Linked DNA regions of Mus musculus. The protein of the gene in region 3 purifies or fractionates together with the protein of the main gene of each other region. This does not show direct contact. Links are inferred from orthologs where the notes say so. Each region holds a gene or a part of one and is shown on either strand. Other genes may lie near its edges.

Region 1 (5,979 bases), on a different chromosome or scaffold from region 3:
ATATATTCAGAATCTTTCCATGAGCCAAAGAACAGTCAAAAACAAATGCAGAGATGGGGGTGAGCTTGCAGATCCAGAGACATAAAAGACAAAGAGGTTCAAGGTCGAGCTCGTCAGTAAGCCGATGTGACGCAGCCTGGTGGACAGCAGAAACAGGCTGCTTCTCTGAACCTCTAGCTGCCCTTCTAAACATTTGTATTTGGTCCCAGGTGACTCAGCATAAGCTAAAGCTGTGAGATCAGAACAGAACTCCACGGCAGGCTAACCAGGAAAGAGGATCAGGACTCCAAGAGAAGAAATGTGCCGCTCAATACCATTCAAAAAAATAGAGAGCTTTGTAGCTTTCCTAGAGGGTGGGTCAAAGGTCCACTGAAAAGACATGGCTTCTTACTAGGCAGTCTTTCATGATCTGTCCCCTGCCTACTGCAACATATTCTAGCACTACCACGGAGATGGCCAAACTCCGGCAAATGCCTTATGAGTTGTCCCTTCATTTGAATTCTGCCTATTCCCAGTGCCCTTCTCTGAGCCCTGGTGAGTGCGTCACCAGCCCTAGCTTTTCACTCACGCAGCTCTGAACCCAACAAGCTTCACAGCTGCAAGCCATCGATGAATACTGCTGTGCAGTAACGCCAAGGATCCAGAAGGAATGAACACACAGGATGCTCTAAGGGAGCCTACATTCTAATGGGGGAGATGTCAAATTACAACAGGGTGACGGGCAAGGGGTGGTTGTGACAGGCAAGGCCTCTCAAGATACAAAATGGAGTTGTCCGACTTACACGGACTCCACTATAGAAAACTCTAAATAGCATCTCTCTGAAGATAACATCTACAGCCAACGTCTGGGCAACAATGACCTGGGCTTATAAGGAAAGACCAATGTGCATGGAATGAAGTTACCAAGAGGAACATGCGTATATATAATGAGTTTTTCACTGCTGTGAATCCAAATAGCTACCAGAAGAAACAACATGAGCCTCAGCACAACAACATGGCAGTAATAAAGTGTGGCAGAAGAGTTTTTCTGACTCACTGCAAGGAAGCAAACGAGTCCAAGGACAGAAGCCCCACAACAATGCTACTAGCCAGGCACAAGTGCCCATGAATGCACAAATGAAGACTGAACTGGGATGGATGCAGTCGACAAGACTAATAGCTTAGGCGTGAAGGGGGAGAGGATTTAAGGAGGCCTTCCTCTGCTGGGCTGTAGCTCGGTGAAGGAACACTCACCTAGCATGCAAAGGCCCAGGCTTCAACTTCTCTGACGTAATTTGACATCAAAGCTATCTTCTAGGCTGGCCTTGTATAGCTAGGTAGCTAGTGATATGACTCAAAAAGAGGCACGTTTTGAGGGAAAAATGACAACCCGTATCTAAATCTGTTGTGATTTCTACAAGTGTCCACTTACCTCTTCTCCATCTATGTCTGGAGTTCTACAGAACCATCAAGGTAGAGCTAGGAACCATGGGAGCCAGCATTGAATACACAGTGCTTAAACCCCTAAACAGACAGCCCTGCCTTGTCAGCTGGTCAGCTTCTAGTCATCCTTTAAGGTCTAGTTCATCTGCATAGTGATGCATACCTTTAATCTCAGCACTCTGGAGGCAGAGGCAGGAGGATCTCTATGAGTTCAAAGCTAGCCTGTTCTATATAGAACCAAGGCTACAAAACAAGACCTTGCCTCAAAAAATACAAACAATGCCAGGGCCAAGAAGCAGGAGTGGGGAGGAAGGGAGCAGGGGAGCAGGGTGGTTATAGGGAACTTTCGGGATAGCATTAGAAATGTATATAAAGAAAATATCTAATAAAAAAAATTACAAACAAAAGAAAAAGGGGAACCAAATCAAGTTCTTTCCCTCCGCATCTCTGAAATAATAAGTCTATAGAGGCAGAAACAAGCTTACATTCGGCTGGTAAGATCTAAGTCTTGTTAGTATTATTATTGTCATCTGCCCATAAGAAGTCTGCATAAAATGCTGCAATGTGCCTATCACCAGTTAATAAAGGCACTGTTGATCCTACAAAGTTCTAGAAGGAGCATAGACGATAGAAAAGTACTCACCAGCAGACAGTGGGCAAAGTCAGGACCGCCCACCAAACCAGTGAAATTTCCCAGCTGCTCGGCGAGAGCTAACAGCACCTCATCTTCATCATAAATAGTATCTGAAAACAACAACAGCTGGTTACCACAGGGGCAAGGGCCACTGCGCTGGCTCTCACAGAGCGGTTGCAACTAGAATCCTAAAAGCATTTTCATCCCTCTCTAAATCACAAGTCTTTTTTTGTCAGTTTTTTTATTAGATATTTTCTTTATATACATTTCAAATTTCAAATGCTATCCCGAAAGTTCCCTATACCCCCCACCCCCGCCCTGCTCCCCTACCCACCCACTCCCACTTCTTGGCCCTGGCGTTCCCCTGTACTGGGGCATATAAAGTTTGCAAGATCAAGGGGCCTCTCTTCCCAGTGATGGCCGACTAGGCCATCTTCTGCTACATATGCAGCTAGAGACACGAGCTCCGGGGGTACTGGTTAGTTCATATTGTTGTTCCACCTATAGGGCTGCAGACCCCTTCAGCTCCTTGGGTGCTTTCTCTAGCTCCTATATTGGAGCTATATTGGAGCTGTGTTCCATCTTATAGATGACTACCACAAGTCTTCCTGAATGTTTCACACAATTATTAAGAAACTCACATCCTGGAGCTGGAGAGATGGCTCAGTGGTTAAGGGCACTGGCTGCTCTTCCAGAGAAGCAGCGTTCAATGCCCAGCACCCACATGGCAACTTAACAACTGCCTATAACTCCAGTTCCAGGGGATCTGTCACTTTCACATGCAGGCAAAACACCAATGCATATAAAATAAATCATTTACAAAGAAATCCATATTTCACATCAATCACCTTCCCACTAGCTACACGGTTTATGTTTGAGTATGTCTGACTATATGTAGCATTTCTATACACCTTGCAGAAGGCAAGGCTCAGTCTAGTACTTATCGCTACTCTAGGTAACAAACTAAGAAAATTAAATAAAAATAGTTTAAAAGCCAATAGAAATGGAGCGTGTATCTTTCAAGGGACACAAACCTGTAAGGAAAGGCAGCAGTTCCGTTCGAGTCCTTTCTACCCCGAGTGCTAGAGCTATAGTTGATAACTTCTTAATACTGTTGAGACGGAGCTTTAAAAACAAAGTGGGAGGGAGAACAAAGCAAAGAGATGATTGCAATTCTGGTCAAAGAAGCAAATAGGTGAGATACTGGGACACAGTATAATGATGAATGAGCCTTTCACTTAGATCTTAATCCTAGGAAAACTCAAGGACCGTTTAACACGTCATTAGCCAGAAGCTATCTTAGGGAGAACACTGAAGGGCCGGGGAAGAAACGAATGAATGAAAACACGCGGACAATGAGAGGGTCTGAAAAGAGAGAACTCTGGATGGAGAGAAGTGGGTGAAAGAAACGGTTAAGCACAACTCCTCCCTTTTCAGGGAAAAGTTCTATCACAACTGATGCACCACTCATCTGGGTTAATCAGCCGCCGCGCTCTTTCCACCCAACCAGCCCAGCTAGTTTGCCCGGGGACGGACACTCCGCATCACTTCAAAGGGAACGGGGGCCGGGGGCCGCTCCTCCGCTCCCGGCGGCCCCGCAGCCCGCCTGCGCTGGTCCACCCGAGGTGCGAACCGGTTCCCCGCCCACTGCCGGGAGCAGATGGACGCCACCACCCCAGAGGGTCGGAGGAGGGCAGCGGAGCTGAGACGGACCACCGCGCACCCGCCGCCCCACGCCTCCGTCCCGGGGCTGAATACGACTCTGCCACCCCGGGGGTCGCCCCCAGGGCTGAGCCGGCCTTTCCGCTTCCCTACCATGTGCGCTTCCGCCCTCGCCTCGGCTCCCCAGCCCAGCCTAGTACCTGCACGTCCTCATTGCGGAGCTCGTCGATTAAAACCGCGATCGGGTAGAGCGAATCGTCTCCATCTCCACCCGCTGCCCCCGGACCGGACCCTGGCCCTGCTGCGCCCGCCATGTTCTTCCTCCTCTGGCTGGTCGCCGCCGAAGGCCCCGTGCCCAGACCACGCCCCGCGCTCAGGCCACGCCCCGCGCTCAGGCCACGCCCCACACACAAACAGGCGGGGCTAAATCCAATCAGCCGGCTCCGAGGAACTGATGGAATCAAGTTTTTTCCCTGCGCGTGGAGGCTCCGGCCTGACCCCCATTGCTGGAACTGGAGGTCTGAACTCCAGAAGAAGGGCGGGCCGAAAAAACCAATGGAACCCCTGCATCCTTTCCCCAGCCGAAAGAAACAAGGGCAGGGATTCATCGTCTCCTTGCTGTGCTCTGAAGGAGACGGGCCTTAATGATGGATGCCGAGCCTCAAGTAGAACTCAGAGACAGGCCAGGAGGAAGAAGCTTTAACACCTCCCCCTCCACCCCAACCTCCACCCCCACCCCCAGGCTTCATGCTGGCCCTGAGCCACTGGGTCTTGGTCTTAATTTCCCCTTGGGCGACAAGCCTCTACACGCGCGCGCGCGCGCACACACACACACACACACACACACACACACACACACACACCTTCCTCTGGCCTGTTTGCCAAAATCGTGGCTGGCTCCTGCTCCTTAAGACAAATAATGAGGGCGGTGAGAGAAAATGAACAGTGCTGTCCAAACTCCCCAGTCAATATTTTTTCCACGCAAGCTGTTCAAAACATGCTGCTCTCTTGTTTTTGTGTTTCTTTTCAGTGTGGTACTGGAATGGCGCCTTCTGTTGTATTGTCTTCTCTTTTTTTTTCCTTCTTTACCAAGAAGCACAACAACCTAACATAACTGGGCCCAGTTTTACTCACCCCAGTTCGGTGCGGGTGTAAACTGGCCTCCCTAGACCTCCAGGAGTCCCCCTAAAGGACTCCAGGAGGAGGTGGGCCTGGGCCTTTTTACACAGAACTTAATGGAAAATGTTCCACTTGCCCTATGGAATGGCACAAAGTAACTATCTCTCCTTTCGACTTAGATATAAGCAACTTAGATTGGTAGCTCTGTCACAAGTTCTCAGATGACACTATTTTGTGCCTTAAGGAAATTGTCATTAATAAATGCAACTTAGGAGGTAAGTTTTTTTTTTTTTCTTTTTAAAGCATGGGATGCCTACTAGGAGATAGCCTTTCATAGTCAAAGCTTGAGAACCAACAGACTTCAGTTTGCGGTTTTTGTTTTTTCAACTTCTGTCCACGAATGAATGCTTGAAGACTCTCGTTTTATTTTGATAATTTTTAGATTCACTTACTTAAGGCATGGTCTGGACTGCTGGGGTGGCTATCTTTTTTAATTACAAAAACTGTGTATATGTGTGGTATGTACACACATGAGCCACTGAACAAGTGTAGTCAGAGGACAGCTTGCGGAGTGGGTTATCTACTTCTACCAAGTGGGTTCCAGTAACTGAACTCTGGTTGTCAGGTTTGGTGACACATGCCTTTATCCACTGAGCCATCTAGCTGGCCCCCAGGGACTACCTGAATCAGCCCTGCACAGGATTTCAGCACCCGTATTTGCGTGAGTTTCAGCACAGCTTTCATTGTTCTGGGCTCCTAAGAAATGAACAGAGGTGGAAGCTAAATGAAAAATATGTTTTTATGCACAAAATGGAAGACAGAGGGTACCATGCAATTACAGTCTCAATGGCTCTAAACAAGGTAAAAAAAAAAAAAAAAAAAAAAAGGGGGAGAAACTGGAGGCATGAGCAGAGCAAAGCCTAGAGAAGCTGAGCTTGGGCCAGCAAGCCCAGACTCCCAAAGCGTGGCTTGGCTTTAGTGTCAGACACATTTGTCATACTAAATTACAAAAATATCAACATTATTGATTTTAATAATATTGGCCTTGTGGCTTCATGTATATTTAACTTGTAAATCTGGTTTTGTAGCTGTATAAAGACTAGTTTTAAGAGAACATAATGTTGGTTTATATTTGAAAATTT
Region 2 (5,873 bases), on a different chromosome or scaffold from region 3:
AGTAGAGGAGAGGTAAGAAGGGCAGGACACTAGCGTGGACTGAAATGTGCCACAGGATCTTGGGATACCAGCATGTGCTTTGATATACAGTTAGGCAACGTAGGTAGCTATATCTCCTTTTTGCCAGAAGTGAGGGAAATGACATTTTTGGTAGAGGGCCCCTGGCTTCACAAGTTCCTGAAGAATGCTGTTTTTTTTTTTTTTTTTTTTTTTTTTTAATCTAACTTCCAGAAATCCTCCTATAGTCCAGGCTGAGCTCATTTCTGGATATTTGAACTGCCTTTTGCAGTTTGGGAAGTTTCCTTTGGACCTGACACATTTTGTTGTTGTTCTCTTTCCTCCTCCTCTTCCTCCTGTCTTTCTTTCTTTCTTTCTTTCTTTCTTTCTTTTTTTAACTGTTTTAAGATGAGTACATTGTTGTTGTCTTCAGGCACACCAGAAGAGGGAATCAGATCCCATTACTGATGGTTGTGAGCCACCATGTGGCTGCTGGGAATTGAACTCAGGACCTTTGGGAAAGCAGTCAGTGCTCTTAACCACTAGGCCATCTACCCAGCCCTCCTTCTGTCTTTCAAGACAGAGTTTCTTTGTGTGGACTTGGCTGTCCTGGAACTAGCTCTGTAGACCAGGCTGACCTCCAGAAATCTGCTTGCCTCTGCCTCCTTCCCCTCCCTCTCTCTAGGAGGAGAGCTTGGCACTACTAAGAAAGGGCATTTGACCTAGTTAAAGGTGAATAGGAAAGGGGGGGGGGAATGTCAGAGAGTCTGACTGGAAGAGGCTACATTTAAATGGATTTATTTTAATTTTTTGCATGTGTTTGATGTATGTATGTTAGGCAGAGTCTTCTATAGATAGCCCAGGCTAGCCTCAAACTCAGCTGTCCTTGAACTCTAGAACCTCTTAAATGAATACAAGCGCTGTTGAGATTATAGGAATGTGTCACCACGGCCAGAAGAACATATCTTCCTCTTCCTCCTCCTCCTCTTTTTCCTCCTCCTCCTCCTCCTCCTTCTCCTCCTTCTTCTTCTTCTTCTTTTGGTTTTTCAAGACAGGGTTTCTCTGTGTAGCCCCGGCTACCCTGGAACTCACTCTGTAGACCAGGCTGGCCTTGAACTCAGAAATCCGCCTGCCTCTGCCTCTCAAGTGCTGGGATTAAAGGTGTATGCCACCACTGCCCAGCAGAACATACCTTCTTAATCATTGATTTTACCACTTTTATCTGAAAAGACCTTGGCTACTTTTTGCGGCATTCACAACATCCAATTTCTGTGGCGAGCTATTCTTAACTGCTCGCAGTAGCCAAGGGCTCTAGTCCATGGGAAGGTAACCTAATTCACCCAGATGGAACCAGTCCAGTTGTGTCCTTCTGGGCTCAGTGAACTCTCACCTTGGGCAGGCAGTGGCAAGTATGCATCACTCTCCCTTAATTTTGGTGCCTCCGGGGCTCACCCACAGGGTCACTGGAGCAACAAAAGGGGTATTCTCTCGAGAGGGCCAGCTCACCATGTGGTTGAGCATAAGTGAACATATGAGGCCATCCCAAAGTTCCGGCCTTGGCTCTACGGCTTGGGACAGTGAGAGGTGCAGACAGGCCAGGCCTTGGCCACTTGGGCACCGCGGCTTGGCACATCCAGCCCACAGCCACAGCAAACTAAGTGCAGCTCTAGCTCTGTACAGGGACCTTCTCAAGGATCCTAGCGGGCGGGGCGGGGCGAAAGCAAGACAAGAAGGAGGCGTGGCTAACACAGCACGACCCGCCCCAAAGACGCTCCGCCCCCTCAAGTGACGTCACCGGCCAGCCAGCGGGCGCCATTTTGAAAGTGGAGTCGCCTGTCCCTGCCGCCGCGGCCGCCGTCGCTGTCCTAGCCGCCGCTGCCGCCGCCACTACTACCGCCGCCGCCGCCGCTACTGCCGCCGCTGCCGTCTCCACCGCGAGAGAAGGAGCACGAGACGGGACGCCCCTGAGTGAACGCCACCATCCTGCCGACCGCTCCACCCGGGCCGCTTCCTTTCCGCCCCGGTCCCGGTCCCCTCCCCCCTCAGGTGCCATCCGCCTCCATCCGCGCCCTCGATCCCCCCATCCCCAGGTGTGGGGGCTGAGCCCCGGTCGCGGAGACCCCGACGAGCCCGGCAGGGTCACCATTTGCAGCGCGACATGGCAGGTAAAGAAGAAACGGCCCTTGGGCGGCTGACAGGGTGCCGTGCCGCTTCCTCTGCGCGCTCTCCGTCACCCCCTAGCGACCGTGGTGGCGGGGCCTCGGCCTGGGGCGCTGGCCGAGTGTGGGGCGGGCGGGCGGGCCTGGCACTGAGCTGGGACTGTGGGGCCTGGAGGCCGGGCCCGGGGCCTGGCACTACAGGAACACGGCACGGGTGCGTTGGGGGTGGGAGACGGCGTGGGTGGGGCGGGTGCAGGCGTGCAGATGGGTCCCCTCTGCACCCTGCTCCCTCCGCTCTTCCTTACATATTCATTCCTCTTCCCGGTCTACTGAGAACCTTTCTGTAGAAATGTATTCTGGACCGATAAGAAGGAAGACAGCTTTGCAAGTTAAAATACAATGGAGGCATACCCCCACCCCCCCAACTCACGGTCACCCCCCCCCCAACCCCCAGCACCACACAAACATTAATGGGGTAGGTCAGGTTTTGAGGGTGTAAGCCTGAATTTCGTTTTCGATTTTGCTCCCTTCCCGTGTCTTATTTTTTTGCCACTCACGAATGCTAAGCCTTTAATAGAAGTTGCAAGGATTGGGGTGGGGGCTGGGTGGGAGAGAAAGGTAATTTAAACTTTGCATTTTGCACGGTAGCGTTTGGGCAGATGTCCTTTTCCCAGAAGGGTTTCTTGGAGTTAAAATAGTTGTGGAGTTCGCCGATATAAATAGCCAAAGGGAGAGGGATTTTATAAAACCTTGCTGAGGGGGGACGGGGGGGGTGCGGGGGGAGAAAGCCTGATTGAGAATAATTTAGCAAGGAATGGGTAAAGGAAAAGCGAGGTTTAATGTCGTTTGAGAGTCGGTTATCTTTGTACAATTTAGTCTTGAAGCCCTTCCTCTCATAGAGTAATTCTGGATTGAGATTGAGTTTCTTTTCCAGAAATCCCGGGGTGCCCCCATCCCCCCATTTCCTCTTCAGTGCTGAGCAGTGAGTGTCGGAGATTAAACCAATTTTCCTTTCTTTTCAATATTTGCATAGATAATAGAACCTTTAAAGAAGTTATGCTGGACTGGTTTACAGTTTGCTATATAAACAGGCTGCCCTTTGACCTTGCTGAACAATGAAATGATAATTGGAACTGTATTGTAGGAGATGAGCAACGAATAAGGTTGCTTTTTTCTGGGTCCTTTGGATGCAGTAGGTGAATGTGGCAGGAGCAGCCTCCTTTGACCATCTCTTCCCAGGCGTGCATTTCCGCCCCTTTTCCTCTGTCTGCAACCAGTGATTTGCTCCTAACGAATGCAAAGAAATGGGTGTTGTGTTTGCTTAGTCCACATGAATCATCCTCTCAGGCAGTAATGTTCCCGAAGTTTTCTCTTCGTTCTATATTTCATGGTAGTTTAGCCTTATAACTCTTTTGTAGGCCTTTTGTACATTTAAAGGAAAACTAACTTTGGTGCTTTGGTTGGTTTTGTTTTTGTTTTTGTTTTTTCCTGGTAGGTTTTAACTTGAAAGGTTCTGACTGTCTTTAAGGAGAGGGAAAAGTGGAAGTGAGGTTTTAAATATCTGTATGATGATAATTACTGGTAGGCTGTATGTCTTTGGATATTTCGTACCTGCAGACTTGTTTTTAATACACTACCAACTATTGGAGGCCAATTTGGTTCCAAATCTGTGGGCTCAGTGGTAGTTACATAGGGAGTTATGATGCCAGCCTCGGGAACCATCTCTGTGTTTATAAGCGTAAACAGAACAGAGCTCAGTTTTAATTGCTATGTTTTCTTCTTCCAGGAGCTGGAGGAGGGAATGATATTCAGTGGTGTTTTTCTCAGGTGAAAGGAGCAGTAGATGATGACGTAGCAGAAGGTAAGACATTTTAACAGTGACGACTATCGACTTAAAAGTCCTGGGTGCTGAAGGAACTCAGTGTTTTGTGTTTGCTTTCTGAGAGGTGGGATGATAGCTTTAAAAAAAATCACCTTTCTGAAAAGTCTGTATATCTTCTTATGTCTTGCTTATCTTTTTTTTTTTCATTGAGTTAATGAAGTAGATGTCCAGCAGTCAGTGCTCTAAGGTTTGTGTGACTAAGGTGTCTTTGTTACATACATTCTACATATAAATGACTGGTCTTCATGTTTATGTGTTATTTTTCGATAAAACAGAGAAACAGAGGCCAGCAGCTCTTAGCTCAGAACCGCTCCCAGCAGCACCTCTTACTCTGTGGGGGGCTCTGGTTCTTTTGAACTCCACTGCTTTGGGATGTGGCACTGGTCGACATGGCTGCTGGTCCACATGATTCACTTTACTGTGCTGCAGGGATTTGTGCGTGTGGTTAAGACAGATAAGATAGAACAAATTACTGTGGGGACTTTTTTTGAGATAGAAACTTGCTAATTTATTTCAGAACGTATCTAAAGTTTTGAAATGTCAAGGTCTTGCGTGCAGTCTGAGGTGATCTTTTGTGATAGAGACAAATAATCTCAAAAGGGATTCTTTGCTCAGAAATATTTAATATAGTTTGTGGACTCTGTGTGTGTATGTGTGTGTATTTGAGAGGGAGAGGATGTGTGTGTGTCTGTCTGTCTGTCTGTGTCTGTCTGCCTGTCTGTCCCTAGCTGGCTTTGAATTTGCTATGTAGACTAGGTTGTTCTTGAATTCGGAGATCCATCCGCCTGCCTCTGCCTCCCCAATAAAGTTAGTGGGATTTTTCTAAATAGAAGTCAAAGAAGAGTATGTATTTCTGGTTGTCTGAAAATGTGTACCCCTTTCTTTAGGTGTGGAACCTTTCCTTGTGGTTCTCCTCTGCTGCCATAGAGTGCTGTGCTGAGGATTTCTTTTCAGGTGGTGGTAGGCCAAAGACTGTTGACTAGGAGATGCTTGTGTGGTGACATTTGTCTCCAGTGTGTGCGTGGTGTGGTGAGTCCTGTAGAAAGTCATTGGCACACTTGTGCTTCCAGCCTCTGTTACCTTTGTTTTCTGGTGGTCCTTATTCCTTTCTCACATGAGAGACTGGAAACTTGGAAAGAATTAAAGGGTTTAGAGTGACTCAGTGATGGTCAATCGGTGCTGCTTTTCTGTGGAAATAAATCCTGTGTTGGAGGGAGGAGTCTCGAATTCCTGATTTTGTAACTCCATTACCTGTTGAGTAGTAGGCACTCAGGTATTGGATCCTCGGTTCTGTGCGGTTGTGTAATACTTGGCATGTTATGAAAGTGCTCTCTACTTGGAAAACATTTCTTGGTTGCACTGTTTATTCCCTTATCAAACAAAGGTCTCCTGAATGTTGAGAACGGGTGTGTGGTGTCTAGAACATAAGCTGTCTACCCTTAAGAAACTCTGTTTACTTCTTGTTAATCATGGGGAGAAAGAAGACTTCACTCAATCAGAAGAAATAGATTTTCTAAACTGAATATCAATTACTTAACCAAAACAAGTGATAGTTTGTGCTACTTCACACATATACAGAATATATGTGATGGATCAGTTTTAATTCTTCCTTGTATGTCAGTTCTTACTAGCTTCACTTTGCTCCCTATTGATTAAATAACTTCCTAGGGTATATGTAGTGACAGTGTGCTCCTACTTGGAGTGCGCGCTTCAGAAAGAACATAACTTGTTAGTGCTGTGTCTTCACAAGTACATGCGCAGCATTGTTTTCAAGTTACACTGCTTTGATTTGCAGTCTCAGAAACTACTTGGTATACTTCTGTCTGCTATGTTTA
Region 3 (5,336 bases):
CTTTTGCCATTTTCCTCTTTTCTTCCAACGTGTGCTTAAATATTTTTTTCAAGGTGTCGTAAACTATTGGTCCGTTTTCAGAATCAAAATTAACCTGGTGACAAAGAAAATTTTTATTTAAGACTCTGTAGTAAAAAAATCTAACATGTTTCTGTTTGCAAAGAGAAAAAGGGTTGGAAAAAACAACGATGGTTTATATAAAAATACATATAGTTAAACACATATGCTAAGTTTCATACATTTAGCTGAAAGACTAAGTTAGAGGTGTCACCCACGTCTGTACCAAACCTTTGACTGAAAACTCATTTAATGTCACCCCTGGAGTTTAATACAACCCAGGCAGGAGCCACCAGGGCTGTCAGCAGGGACGTGAAGCTGAGACTGACCATGGGTGCTGCAAGAGAACCGTGTACTGTCCCAGAGGAAGGGATGCCCTACTGAGAGGGAATCCGGATCCTGGTGCAGCATCTCCCTCCACAAACTGCTCCTTCCTGGACAAGCAATCACACGGGAAAGGCTGCTCACTTCATCAGCAACACAAGGGATGCAGGATGCTGCTCTACTTGTTGGCCAGTGTCTTGCTGATGGCGTCCACAAGGCTCACACGTCAGAAATAAACAACTGCATTTCTCCTAGAAGCATTTATTTCATATTTTGTGGATACCAACTTGAAAAGTTTGGACAGTTAACTCTGCTTAGATGATTCTTGTTTAAACCCAAGGTGGAACTGGCTGGTCATGCAAATACCTCGGACTCTTATGAGAATAGGATTTAAAAAGACTTGTGGAATACCCAGCCGTTTGTCTCTTTGCTCCCACATTATTCTTCAACAACCTCACAGGTCAGCTTTATCCTGATACCATGGTTAGGAAATCCTGTAACTACTTATAAAACACAGTTGCATTTCAGGAAAGAGCTGAACGTTTTACTTGAGAAGAGAAGTTGCTCTCTGGATCCCTGACTTACAGAGGTGCTGTGACTGGTGTGGAGGACACAGGGACTCACCTTGGTGAAAGCTTTAATGGCATGTAAAAGGCAAGCTTCCTCCACCTCCATGGGAAGCGTCTGCAGGCTCACTATGCAGTGCAGCACACAGAGGATGGTCTGGTACTGCCCCTGTGGACACAGATTATCATTACAGACGGCTTGATGAGACCACGTGCAGGAGCTTCAGTACGATCCAGTATGATCTTGTTTGGGTACCTGCCATAAACCTTGAGCAAGGTACTCTACCGTGCCTTGTCTGTAAAAGGGGTCCTTCATCTCCAAGGACTATCAAGATGGCCAGAGGTGAGAATGGAATTACTTCCCACAGGGATTGTTCATAGCTGTTCAACAAGGTTAATCTCCTTCCTTCCTTATCTACCATCTCCTGTTTTATCTCTGACATTTAACCCCTGGGAAAATAACCTAAGAAAAGGATTCTACACACTGGGAAAAAAAAATCTTACCTTACAAGGTATACATAGGGCTGCACAGATGGCTCAGGTAAAGAGCTTTCTATGCAAGCCTGAAGCCTGGAATTCAGATTTCTAGAACCCATGCAAAAAGTCTTGTGGACATGAGGGGCCTATAAACACAGCCAGGGAGGTGGAGATGGGAATTCCTATAGCAAGCTGCCTAGCCAGCCTAGCCAGATACATGGGGTAGAGAGAAATGGAGGAAGACATATGACATTAACCTTAGGTCTTCACATGCATGCTCACATACATGACACACATGTATGTGAGAACATTGCCAGCAAGTGTGTCTGTGAACATACTGTGACAGAAGTTTGTGAGTAGACACAGTCACAGATTTTAGTGAGGACTTGGGAACAATGAGATGGTTACACTATAGCACAGAAGGTAACTCAAGGCTAACAGCATTGTTTCCCCAAAACAAAAGCAAGGCCTATTTTGAACTAAAAAGATTGTATCCTTATTTGGTTAAAAATATTAAACTGTATAATAGGATCTATAATGAAAAGCCATCTCCTTCTCTTCCTATATTCACAGTATCCTTCCCTGATGGCAAACACTGGGACTAGTTGATAGCTTCCTGATATTCTTTTCTACTTCATACATATATATGCTATATAGATGTCTGCACACATACAAGTACCTGTGATATATTCCCCTTTAAAAGTTCTAAGGAGTGCACATTCCAATTTGCATTTAGTTTTTATTGACACAGGCTCACAGTAAGTAGAAACAAGACTTTGAAAAGGTGGAGAGTTATAACACAGCCCACTTAAGATCCGCTCTAGTCACCACAGCCTCTACCACAGATGCTCACCCACTTAGGAAAAACAATCACATCTTTTTGTTTTGCTTTGTTTGGGGACAGAGTCTTACTATGCTGGCTTGGAAATCACTATGTAGACCAGGCTGTCCTCAAACTCAGAGATATGCTTGCCTCTGACTCTTGTGAGGAGATTAAAGGTATGCACTATCACACCTGGCAAAATACCATACTTTCAAGACAAAATAAAATCTAAAATTTAATGACATTTGCTATATTAAAAATTTACACTGAAGAGATTTAAAAAGAAAGGTTGGAAGAATTTAATGTGACTCTTCCAAAATTCACACATTAGAAATGATTCCTGAAAGTGTGGTCATCTCCGTCTCAGTTATAGACAGCTTCCTTTTAGGGGGTGGGCATCAGACCTGGGCCCTTGAGCATGCTACACAAAGGATCTCCCAGGGAGCCACTTCCCCAGCTTGGTTTTTTGAGATAGTCTTGCTGCACACTACAAGATGTCCTGGAATCTAGGATGTAGTCCAGGCTGGCCTCAAACTTACAATCCTCTCTCTACCTCCTGAGTGGCAGGATTACAGGCATTCACTGCCATTTCTGTTTTCTGAATGCTTACTTTGTTAATCAGTTTTGCCGCGTCTACAGTGCTGCAGATCAAACCCAGGGCCTCGCACACACTAGGCTTGTTCTCTACCACTGAGCCACATCCCAGCCCAAGTTTATTCTCTTATCTTAGAAAAACGACTCAATTAGGGGAGTGGAGAGATGGCCCAGTGGTTAGGAACATGAGCTGCTGCTCTTGCAAAGGACCTGAGTTCAGTTCCTTGAACCCCACAGCAGGTAGCTCACAAAGACCTGTAACTCCAGCTCCAGGGGAATCGATGCCCTCTCCTGTCTTCTGTCAGCATTGCATACAAACATACAAACTTGCACACAGACCATACACACAGAACTGGGGTGTAAAAGAAAAGAAAACCCCCTGAGTTAGACATAAATAGAGAATTCATTCTTTTAGTAATGGATTTTTTGCACATGTCTGAAGCTTATAGTGAGGCCTTAATTATCTTCATTAGCCGGTCCAATTGCTACTTTACCTTCTCTAGTAAAAACAGGGCTTCGGCAGCATCTGCTTGTCTGTCGACCAGCATGTCCACATCCTCTTTGGTGATTACAGGCTCTTTCAGTTGCTCAACCCAAGACCACATCAAACTGCACAAGATGAAAGGGTCTCTCTCGCCGCATATTCGTTCCCAGGCTTCCTCCCGGGAATTTAGTTCTTTCTACAAAGGAAGAGGGAGAGAGGGAGAGATCTGGGGGGAAAAGAGGTGTATGGACCCGAACTAGAGGATTCATAAGCACTTACAGAGTTGAGGCTGGCCTCTGAGGTGCAACCTGGACCTTCCCCGGGGCCTGCACCTCTAGGTATGGGCACTTGGCTAACACAGGAGCTTCCCCAAGCCCAGGCTCATTCCTGTCACAAACAGGGTTAGCTAACTACTGAGAGAAGAGTCACTACACTGTGTGGCCCTGACTGATTCAGAGACCATAGAAGTAGCTCAAAATGGAGTCTTTTTTTCTCCGGCATCTGGTAAACAAAACAGAAATTTGACAGCAAATGAAGTAAAATGGTAGATTAAAAATAAGAGACCACTTATAAGTTAATCTGGGATCTTAGCTAACTAAACCTTTTAACCGAAACGTCAAAGTTTGTGTGTGTGTGTGTGTGTGTATGTGTGTGTGTGTGTGTGTGTGTATTCCATTAAAGCCAGTAAATGTGGTATGCATTTTTCTACGTGCTTGTTAGAATCCTACAGAGCAGGTAATGGGTCCAGCACTCTGAGATCTGGGAAGTGCAAATATGAGTTTAATTATTTATTTGTGCATATTTGTGTATGTGCCTGCACATGTGTGCATGCATGTGCATGTTACTAGCGTGTGTGTGTGTGAGTTTGTGTGTATGAGTGTGTGTATGTGAGTATGAGTGTGTGTAGACCAGAAGACAACTTTGTGGAGCTGCTTTTTCTCTTTCTATTATGTGGTCCTGGAGTTCAGACTCAAGCTCAGAGGGATTCGTCTTTAATGAGTCATACTGCCAGCCTCACATGAGATCTTAAGACTTCACCTTATAAAAAGGAGTTAAAAAAATTTCTGAGATCAGATTTATGTTTTGGTAAATTGAATAAAAATGTTCAATTGTAAAAAATAAAGTAGTTATTAACATCCATTTAGTTGTCCAGTAAATTCTTGCAGCATGTACCACAATGTGACAGCATCAGTATCACAGGACTGCTTCCTAACTTTCATAGCAGCTCTCAAGGAGGCTCCTCACAGATAAACACTGAGGTGGAGACAAGCCCGTGCAGAGCTCGAGGCCTGAGAAGGGTGGAGAGTGCTCCATTAGCTCGCCTTACTCCACTGGCTGTAGCATAGGAACCCACTAGGCCTGCGTTTCCCTTTCTCTTAGAAATGAGCCCATCCTTGGAGCTGTTCATACCCCTGCCTATCTCACACACTGTGTACAGTACAGGATAGCCTTTAATTTAATCTTAGGGCTATATGAGGAGAGAAACTGGGCAGAACAAAAGCTATCTTGTGAAATAAGTACTGCCCCATGGTGCTGGCTGGAGCTTCCCACGGAGGCAGAGATGTAAGAGAGACTGACTAGTCAAACTGTACTCTAGCTCTGACACATCAACCATGCCTACAGGAGGCCACTAGATGTCTGGAGTCCTTAGTTTCCTCACCGGTGACACGGAATTCATAATGGTAACAAGGAGTCTCTAAACAGTCCACCTGAGCCTAGGGTTATTGAGAGAAGCGCACAGCGTATTCACAAATGGGTTAACACAAGCACACACATCAACATGGTTGTTTCACCACTTCCCAGAGTACCACTGGCTTGTTTAGGTACTCAGAGTCCTGAAATAAATCTAAGAAGGTAAGAAGGGACCTGGAACTCTGTGCAGATCATAGAACCTGCAAAGACTCGACAGTTCCTGCCTCACAGGTCTTGATTAAAGCTCCGGACCCAAACCCATCTTATGTCATGTGGGCACTTGGTTGAGGGGCATGCAGGGCTGACCCAGAAATAGCCC

Evidence for each region.
Region 1: the proteins of Ptpdc1 (region 3) and Ppp2r1b purify together in Homo sapiens (affinity purification with mass spectrometry; 3 studies listed by BioGRID and IntAct, counting the BioPlex papers as one, with this or other methods). This does not show direct contact. The link is inferred for Mus musculus from reciprocal best matches to the Homo sapiens genes PTPDC1 and PPP2R1B.
Region 2: the proteins of Ptpdc1 (region 3) and Ppp2r2a purify together in Homo sapiens (affinity purification with mass spectrometry; 4 studies listed by BioGRID and IntAct, counting the BioPlex papers as one, with this or other methods). This does not show direct contact. The link is inferred for Mus musculus from reciprocal best matches to the Homo sapiens genes PTPDC1 and PPP2R2A.

What each region holds. Positions count from the first base shown.
Region 1 is NC_000075.6:50,855,038-50,861,016, reverse strand, and holds the start of Ppp2r1b (serine/threonine-protein phosphatase 2A 65 kDa regulatory subunit A beta isoform), read right to left. Parts: upstream 4,094-5,979; 5' UTR 4,033-4,093; coding exon 3,919-4,032; intron 3,182-3,918; coding exon 3,091-3,181; intron 2,167-3,090; coding exon 2,066-2,166; intron 1-2,065. UniProt on the Homo sapiens protein: The PR65 subunit of protein phosphatase 2A serves as a scaffolding molecule to coordinate the assembly of the catalytic subunit and a variable regulatory B subunit.
Region 2 is NC_000080.6:67,068,379-67,074,251, reverse strand, and holds the start of Ppp2r2a (serine/threonine-protein phosphatase 2A 55 kDa regulatory subunit B alpha isoform), read left to right. Parts: upstream 1-1,780; 5' UTR 1,781-2,155; coding exon 2,156-2,162; intron 2,163-3,942; coding exon 3,943-4,017; intron 4,018-5,873. UniProt on the Homo sapiens protein: Substrate-recognition subunit of protein phosphatase 2A (PP2A) that plays a key role in cell cycle by controlling mitosis entry and exit. Involved in chromosome clustering during late mitosis by mediating dephosphorylation of MKI67.
Region 3 is NC_000079.6:48,579,750-48,585,085, forward strand, and holds part of Ptpdc1 (protein tyrosine phosphatase domain-containing protein 1), read right to left. Parts: intron 3,522-5,336; coding exon 3,336-3,521; intron 1,117-3,335; coding exon 1,006-1,116; intron 95-1,005; coding exon 1-94. UniProt on the Homo sapiens protein: May play roles in cilia formation and/or maintenance.